Diceros bicornis minor: one gene and its partner. The protein of the gene in region 2 purifies or fractionates together with the protein of the main gene of each other region. This does not show direct contact. Links are inferred from orthologs where the notes say so. Each region holds a gene or a part of one and is shown on either strand. Other genes may lie near its edges.

Evidence for each region.
Region 1: the proteins of TESK1 (region 2) and RABEPK purify together in Homo sapiens (affinity purification with mass spectrometry; 3 studies listed by BioGRID and IntAct, with this or other methods). This does not show direct contact. The link is inferred for Diceros bicornis minor from reciprocal best matches to the Homo sapiens genes TESK1 and RABEPK.

The regions. Positions count from the first base shown.
Region 1 is NC_080767.1:33,602,719-33,606,625, forward strand, and holds the start of RABEPK (rab9 effector protein with kelch motifs), read left to right. Parts: upstream 1-1,263; 5' UTR 1,264-1,595; coding exon 1,596-1,610; intron 1,611-2,417; coding exon 2,418-2,476; intron 2,477-3,907. UniProt on the Homo sapiens protein: Rab9 effector required for endosome to trans-Golgi network (TGN) transport.
Region 2 is NC_080767.1:4,054,126-4,058,032, reverse strand, and holds the start of TESK1 (dual specificity testis-specific protein kinase 1), read right to left. Parts: upstream 2,935-3,907; 5' UTR 2,763-2,934; coding exon 2,544-2,762; intron 2,432-2,543; coding exon 2,310-2,431; intron 2,180-2,309; coding exon 2,131-2,179; intron 1,618-2,130; coding exon 1,471-1,617; intron 1,158-1,470; coding exon 1,075-1,157; intron 905-1,074; coding exon 814-904; intron 565-813; coding exon 481-564; intron 330-480; coding exon 240-329; intron 101-239; coding exon 1-100. UniProt on the Homo sapiens protein: Dual specificity protein kinase activity catalyzing autophosphorylation and phosphorylation of exogenous substrates on both serine/threonine and tyrosine residues.

The DNA of each region.
Region 1 (3,907 bases), about 30 Mb from region 2:
GGCCTTTCACTTGTACTATCAGATCCTCTCTACGGCTCCCTGAGGTGGGTATTACTATTCCCATTCTAGAGATGAGGAAACTAGGGCTCAGAGAGGGTAATGAACTTGCCAAATGTCAGGGTTAGTGCTGGAGCCTGGGTTTGAACAGGAGTGTGTCTGACTGCTTCCCACTCTGCTACCACAGCTCTGGACTCCAGGAGCTCCTGCGGTTTCCTTCCTTAGCGATTTCTTCTGTTTCCTAGGACACGACTGTCCCAGTCCTCCTAAGTGATCACCAGGGTCTCTGAAACATAGACATAGGTGAGCCACCTCTCCATTTTCAGGAAGCCACAGGGCCATGGTTATGATGGAGACCAGAGATAATGCATATGAACACGTCTAACTCAGGGCTGGTGTCTAGAGTTCATTTATAGCTAGGAATAGCACCACACTTTACAGAGGACCAGCTCTGCGCTGCGCACCGAACACCTTATATACATGAATTAGCTCATGTATTCCTCATCACCTTGTGACAACAATCTTATTAGCTCCATTTTACAGACAGACGCCCAGAGAAAAGTAACTTCCTCAAGAGTAGATACTCATGGATGAACTTTTTATTCCTTGCACTTTTTACAAATGTATCTGGTTATTGCTTTTTCTGTTTAATCTCTCTCTCGAGTTAGATGGTAAACTCCAGGAGGCCAGGGGCCATGTCTGTCTGGTTCAGCATAGTGCCTGCCATAGTTACAAACACTAATTATGGGATGTCAGCTGTTTAAGGCGCCAAAGCTTGAACTGGCCTCAAGACTTCGCAGGGAGATTTCACACCGAGGAAAGCATCCTTAAGTCTCCCTTTCAGAAACCATTTCTAACACCCGCTGGAACTGAAAATATCCTAGCCCCTTTAGGACAGCCCAGCCGTAGGAGTAACTTGGGTCCCCTAAGTGGACGCCCAACCCCTGGCATCTCGCTTGCAGTCGTTTCCAAGTAGCCCTGGCTTACTTACTCCGCCAGGGAGAGACGGCCCGGCCTGTCAGGTTCCGAGAAACGCGCAGACCGACAACACCCCAGACCCGGAGGGCCCCGCCCCGGCCGTGAGGCGAGGAGCAGGGGAGCGGTTGGCCGCCGCGCTCTTCCGGGGTCTCGGGGCGGGGCGAGGGCCAAGACCCGCCCCCATTGGGGGCGGAGCCACGGCCCGGGACTGGCCTGAGCCGCCGCAGGTAATGCGGTCTCCGGACCTAGGGCCCCAGGGTCGGACGCGGTGCCGGGCGGGGGCGGCCGCTTCTTTAGGGGGATGGGCCCAGGCCCAGTGGAAAGCGCTGGGGAGGGCGTCCTCGGACTCCAGCTGGGCCACTTGGACGGCAAGGAGCCAGTCTACTCTCTCCCGACCCTGGCTCCTGTCCCCTTTCGCTGCCACGCGGGGTTGGGACTGGGGGATGGGACTGGCAGGGGCGGCTGTAGGACGTCCCCGTCCATGCGAAGTTTACCCCCGTTGAGCTCTGGGCTTTGAGAACAGCCGTCAGTGGCTAGGCTGAAGGTTGGGTTTATGCATTCATCTCTCAGAAATCTCATCCATTTTCTTTCTTCATTCGCTCCTCCCTCACGTCTACTCTATGCCAGGCCCATTGGTAGGTTCTCTGAATGAATCCAGCAGGCCCAGCTCTCTTGTAATTTAGTCGAGTGGAATTTAGTCTAGAATCTGGTCTAGAGACTGTTAAATAGATAATTACCTTCAAGGTGATCCCTGCAATGATGGTGGCTTGATAGATATCTTCAAAGGGAGAAGGAAGTAACGGGGATGTAAGTGGAAAGCAACAAATCAGGGAAGGTTTTACTGAGGAGGGGACATTTGAACAGGGTTTTGGAGGTTGACTAGGAGTTTGCTAGTTGACAGGAAGGGAAAGGACTTTTCAGGTAGGAGAAACAGCACAGGATGCAAGTTATGAAATGGCCTGCCACATTAAAGGAACAACAAATGTAGCAAGAACAGCTCAATATAGCAAGAAATTGTGGAGGTGGTTCCTGAAAAGAATGTTGAGACCAGAAGGCTTTGAATGCCATGCTGAGGCCAGGATTTATCCTAGAGTTCAGTATTTCTTAAACTTTTAAATTATTTTATCTTTTGATAAACATAAACATCTTATGACCTCTGAAAATTTATTTTGATATTATATGCCCCTTCCCATGAAAATCACAGACATAAGAAAACTTTGGCTAAAAAGCTTCTGTAATTGTGTTAAGAAAGCTGTGTTACATTTGCCTCCCAAATATGTTTATATCAAAAGGTTGGTAATGCTTATTCAAATTAATCAGTCCCTAGAAATTGGTACATCAGCAGGAGAGGTTTTAAAGAGGAGAGTGACTTCATTTCTTCTGTGTTTCAGGTAAAAGATAATCGTGAATGTCTATAAACTGCCTTTCTTTCTCATGCATAGGACACCATGAAGCAGCTGCCAGTCTTGGAGCCTGGAGACAAGCCCAGGAAAGCAACATGGTCTGTAAGGAGGGATTCAGACAGAGAAAAACATGAGTTTTTGTTTCATTTATAAGTAGTTTACTAACATATTTGATCATAAATGAAAAAGAGTAGAGATGAAACTGTCTGCGGTTTCTGGTAATTAGACTCAAACTGTCTGAGAAGGTCTTCAGAGGAAAGATAGTGGGACAATAATGATCACAGAGCAGATGTTGATTTTATTAAAATCCATTTACCAGGAAGTGTAAGGCACTGACCATCTGGCATCCTCAGCTCCAACGCTGTGTCTTCCCCCACGCTCTGACTCATTTTTAAGATTTTCAGGGAATTGGATTTGAATTAAACTGGCTTCCCTGTCTCTTGGCTGCTTGCTCAACCAACCCTTCATTCAGCAACTAACACCTGCCTGACAGGGGCAGCTGCTGTGTGGGTGCTGCAGGTACAAAGGTGAATCGTCTCAGTGCTCAGTGTAGTGGGGGCTACACACTAAGCAGGTGATGCTTATGCAGTGTGATCAGTGCTGAAGCAGGGCTCACAGAAGGCTGTAGAGAGGAAGCTCTGCTTCTGCAGGACCTCGGAGGAGAGTCTCTGTTCTGGCCTTCCTGCGTCCACTCTTGCTTTCTGCCCAACAGAAATCTGATCACGACATTCTCTTGTTTAAAACCTTTTGTGGGGCCGGCCCTATGGCTTAGCGGTTAAGTGCACGCGCTCTGCTACTGGCGGCCCAGGCGCACACTGACCCACCGCTTCTCCGGCCATGCTGAGGCGGCATCCCACACATAGCAACTAGGAGGATGTGCAATTATGACATATAACTATCCATTGGGGCTTTAGGGGAAAAAAGGAGGAGGATTGGCAATAGATGTTAGCTCAGAGCCGGTCTTCCTCAGCAAAAAGAGGAGGATTAGCATGGATGTTAGCTCAGGGCTCATCTTCCTCACAAAAAAAAAAAAAAAAGAAAAAACCTTTTGTGCCTCTCTGTTGGTCTTAGGATACAAACCAGAATCCTTAAAATGGCCCACTGAGCCCTGCATGATCTGTCCCTGCCTGTCTTTCCAACCTCAAATCCCCTTCTCATCCTTTGTTCTCTTTCTCTTCCTTGCATGCCTTGCACTGTGCCACTCAAGAACTGTATATGCTGGTCCCTCTACCTGGAGCAATTTTGCCCTCTCTCCATATTTTATCCCTCTCTGCCCAGCTAACTTCTACTCATACTTCAGATCTCAGTTCAAATGGAAGCCTTTTCTGACCATCCTCCCTCCCCCATCTCTCCCCACAGGGTTAGATCCCCCTATGATATGTTCTCCTATTATGTATCTTGTGTATATCCCATACTCCTTTATAGCACAATTGAAATGAAATAGATATTTGTGAAATTATCAGTTTCATGTTTCTCTTCCCAACTAGTCTGTCAGGGCTATGAAGGCAGGGACTTTTTTTGTCTTATTC
Region 2 (3,907 bases):
GGGGAGCCCTGGGGAGGGGTGCTGGCTCAGGCAGCTGCTCCAGGATCCACTCCAGGTGCTGGGTGATTTCGGTGAAGGGAGCACGAGTGCTAGGTTCCATCTGATAGGTAGAGACAGGGGCAGCTTCACTCAGTGCTCCCAAAGAGGGTCCCTGAGTTTTCCTCCCATCAGCTGGGACAGGACAGCCTTGTCAGCTGATGGATGGGGGCGGAGGGCAGTGAGGGAGAGGGAGCTCTTACACTGCAGCAGTGGATGGCCAGGAGCAGGAAAGGCAGTGGGCAGTCATCCCCTACAAGGGTCCGGAAAGCAGGCACATCCAGGCCAAAGTCCTGCGGGGACAGAGAGGAGGGGCCTCCAAGTCAGCTTTCCTTGGGTTCTCCTTCTGCCCCCTAATCAGGACCTGAACCTCCAGGGAGCCCTCCTTGGTTACGAGCTGCCCAGTCTGGAGTTCCTCCTTTCAAACCCGGAGACATCATTCACCTCAGTACGCGGTAGGTAATCAGGATCCGCTGGTACTCGCGCAATGAGCTCACAGAGGACGATCCCAAAAGCGAAGACATCGGCCTGGGGGTAAGAGTAAATGTCAGGGGGAGAAATTGACAGTTTTCATGTCAGAATTTTGTCAGAATATGTCAGAATTCAGAGGGGAGGCTTGACAGTTTTCATGTGTTGGAGGGGTGCCTTGAGGGGCAAGGGGGATCTTGAGGGTCTCGTGAATATCTGGTAGGGTTGTTGAGGAACTTGGGATGGGGCCTTGTAAGTATTTCAAGGGTCTCTGGAAGGCCTTGGGGGTCTGAAGGGTCGATGTCTTACCTTCTCATCATACAGCTCACCCCGCAACACCTCTGGAGCCATCCAGTACGGAGAACCCACTACAGCCAATGGCTCCTTCCTTGCCCCTTCCCTGTAGGAGCAGGGGCAGAGTGGTCAGAAACATCCCACTCAGACCCCCCCCCCCGGAAACAAAAGGGCATGAGGTCAGCCCCCTCCCCACTCCAAGGGAAGTGTCCCTGGGGGCTTCACTTAGATAGGGGCTTCCTGGGAGGTTTGGGGGGACAGGGGCATTCACCTCACCTATACACAGGAATCTTTTCAGCCAGGCCGAAGTCACCCACAACAGCTGTGAAGCCTCGGTCGTCCCGTCGGATCAGACAGTTCTGACATACACATATAGCATCCCCACACATCCATCACGTTCTGCTCCCTGATCTCCTAATACACACTGCAAAGCCCTGTCACTCCCGAGTCACCCCAACCCTTTCTATCTCCCAGTCCTCCCATGCACCCCAATTTGCAACATCATCCATCGCTCCAAACACAGCATGGTACTCACTTCCTCAGGGCACTCCCCTTCACCCCAGACCCCCATTCTCCAATGCCTTGCTACTCCAACATCCTACATCCATGGGCTAGTTACAACCTAATAGTCTCAAGTCCCCTTTCATGCCTCCACCCACCTGGCCAGCCTACCTTGGATGTGAGGTCTCGGTGGAATACCCCTTTGGCATGCAGGTACCGCAGGCCACGGGCGATGTCCAGAGCCAGGCGGAGCCTGACAGGCCAGGATAGGGGTTCGGGGGAGCTGAGCAGCTGTTCTAGGGTTCCCCCATTCATATACTGTGGCATAGGGGGAGGAGAAGGGGAATGAATGTCAAGGTTTCAGTCTGTAGTTTCCGTCTCTCACTTATAAGCCAGGGGACACTCAGGAGGATTGCAAAGGTGAGAAGAGTGAGTCCAATGCTCTAGGATCCCCCATTCATATTCTAGGGCTGTCCTGTCCAATAAATGTGCAACTATTTAAATTATTAATTTTAAATAAAATTAAGCATTCAGTTTCTCAGTCACACTAGCCACATTTCCAGGGCTCCTTAGCCACATGTGGCTAGTGGCTACCACAGGTATATAGAACATTTTCATCACTGCAGAAAGTTCTATTGGACAGCACTGCTCTAGAGAACACAGAGGATGGGACCAGCTGAGGCCTTTTATTTGTGGTTTGCCCAAAGGGAAGTTCAGGGAAGCCTCCCCGGGAGAAGGTCCTGCTGCTTCTCATTATTCCTCTGCAGATGCACTGGGCTGCTGACTCTCTCTCCCCTTGTTTGGGGGGGGGGCTTCCTGGCACATCCTCACCTCTGTAAGAGCGTGCAGCTGCCCCTGGTGCACACAGACCCCCATGAACCTGGAAGAGGATGGGGAAGATAGGAGGGCAGGCTGTGAGAGCCCCAGTCCCTCCACAGTTCCCACTTTTCCGGCGGGATCTTTCCCCTTCCCCCAGCAAGCTTCCCAGCAAGCGGCTGGGGCCCGCTCACCTTAGGATGTTGGGGTGCCGAAGCCGGTTCATCAGCTGCACCTCCCGTAGCGTGTTTCCCCGGTTACTGGGGAGCCTGTTCATTTTCAGCACCATGACTTGCCCGGACTGTCGGTGCCGAACCTGGGGGCGGCAGAGGCCGGCGAGTCCCAGGCGGGTCGCCCCAGTCCGGCCTCAGTTCCAGCCTCCCGTCTAAGGCTCGGTCCCGCCCCTCTGCCCTCTCTGCCGGTCCTACCTTGTAGACCTCAGAGAAGAAGCCGGCCCCGATCTTCTCGGCGCAGTGGAAATCGTCCACGCGCGCCAAGCTGGACACGGCGCTGCGGAGGGCCCGGTAGGAGGAGGGGCGGCCCCGGCCCGGGCCTCCGCCCGCGCCCCCCGGCCCCGGGGGCCCCTCCCCCGGCGCCTCTCCCGGCCCGGGCCCAGGGCCCCGCAGTGGGGGGCCTTCCCCGGCCATGGCCGGGCCCCCAGCCCGGGCCTGCCTCACATGGCAGGGTCCCCGGGGCCCGGGCAGGCCCCACTAGCCATGGGCGCGGGCCCAGCCCGATCGGGCGCCGGGACTCCGCTCCCGCCCCGGAGAATGGAAGGTCCGCCGGAGGTCCTGGGCCCGCCCCCGCCGCGCCGGCTCGCTGGGCCCGGCGGACGCCGCGCCGCTCCTCTCTGCGCACGGCCTGGGCCTGGGCCTGGCCTGGGCCGGGCGGCGGCGGTGGCGCTCCGGGCGGCGGCGGGCAGGCGGGCTGGCTCCCGCAGGCGGAGGCGGGCGGGCGGGCGGCGGCTCTGCGCTTCGCCGCTGGGGCTCAGGCTCCGCGGCCTGCTGGGGGCGGGGCTGGGCCGGGCCTCCGCTTAACTCCTTCGAGCCGGGCCTCGGGGCAGCGCCACGCCCCCCAGGTGCGCACCCCGCGACCGGTGGCCGCGACGCGAGCGGGGCTGGGGCGTCGGGGTCAAGTAAGTTCAGGCTCGAGCGGAATAACTGACTGGAACGGTGGGCTGCTTGTGCGTACGCGCAGCTCGGATGTCTCTGGCCGTCCTCAGGACGCTGTCGGCTGAGGGCCGGGCTCAGGGAGCCGCCCGCTGTCTCCGCTCCACCGACCAGCGGGGCAGAACAGTAGCCCCGCAGGCCCAGCCACAGTCGGCGGCCGCCCAGCAACCTGCCCGCCGCCCCGGCCCCGCCGGCCCATTCCCGGTCTCCGCCCTACTCCTGAAACCTCTGGACCCCCGACACCTTCCACGTTCGCGGGCGGCCGTGACGCCCCGGGGCTGCGGTGAGCCCTTGGCCGGCCCAGCCCCGGCGTGGCCCCGACTCCTCCTCACTCCATCCCGCTTCCCTCGAATAAAGGTCGCATTCCAGTGCCTCCGCCCAGTGACCGCCCGCCTGGACCTTCCTCTCGCTCTTTCTTCCAAACGACCCCCTCTCTCCAAAGAGAAGCCTCCTCCTGCAGGGAAGCCCCTCCTTCCGCGAGATCCTACCCTCGGCAAGACCCCGCCCCTCCAGGAGCCCTTCCCCTCGGAGACCCCTCCCCTGAGAGGGGCCTTTCCCCAGTAAGACACTGCCACCGTCAGTGTGTGCCAGAACCCTGAGTTCTACACCCCTCCTCCGTGTGT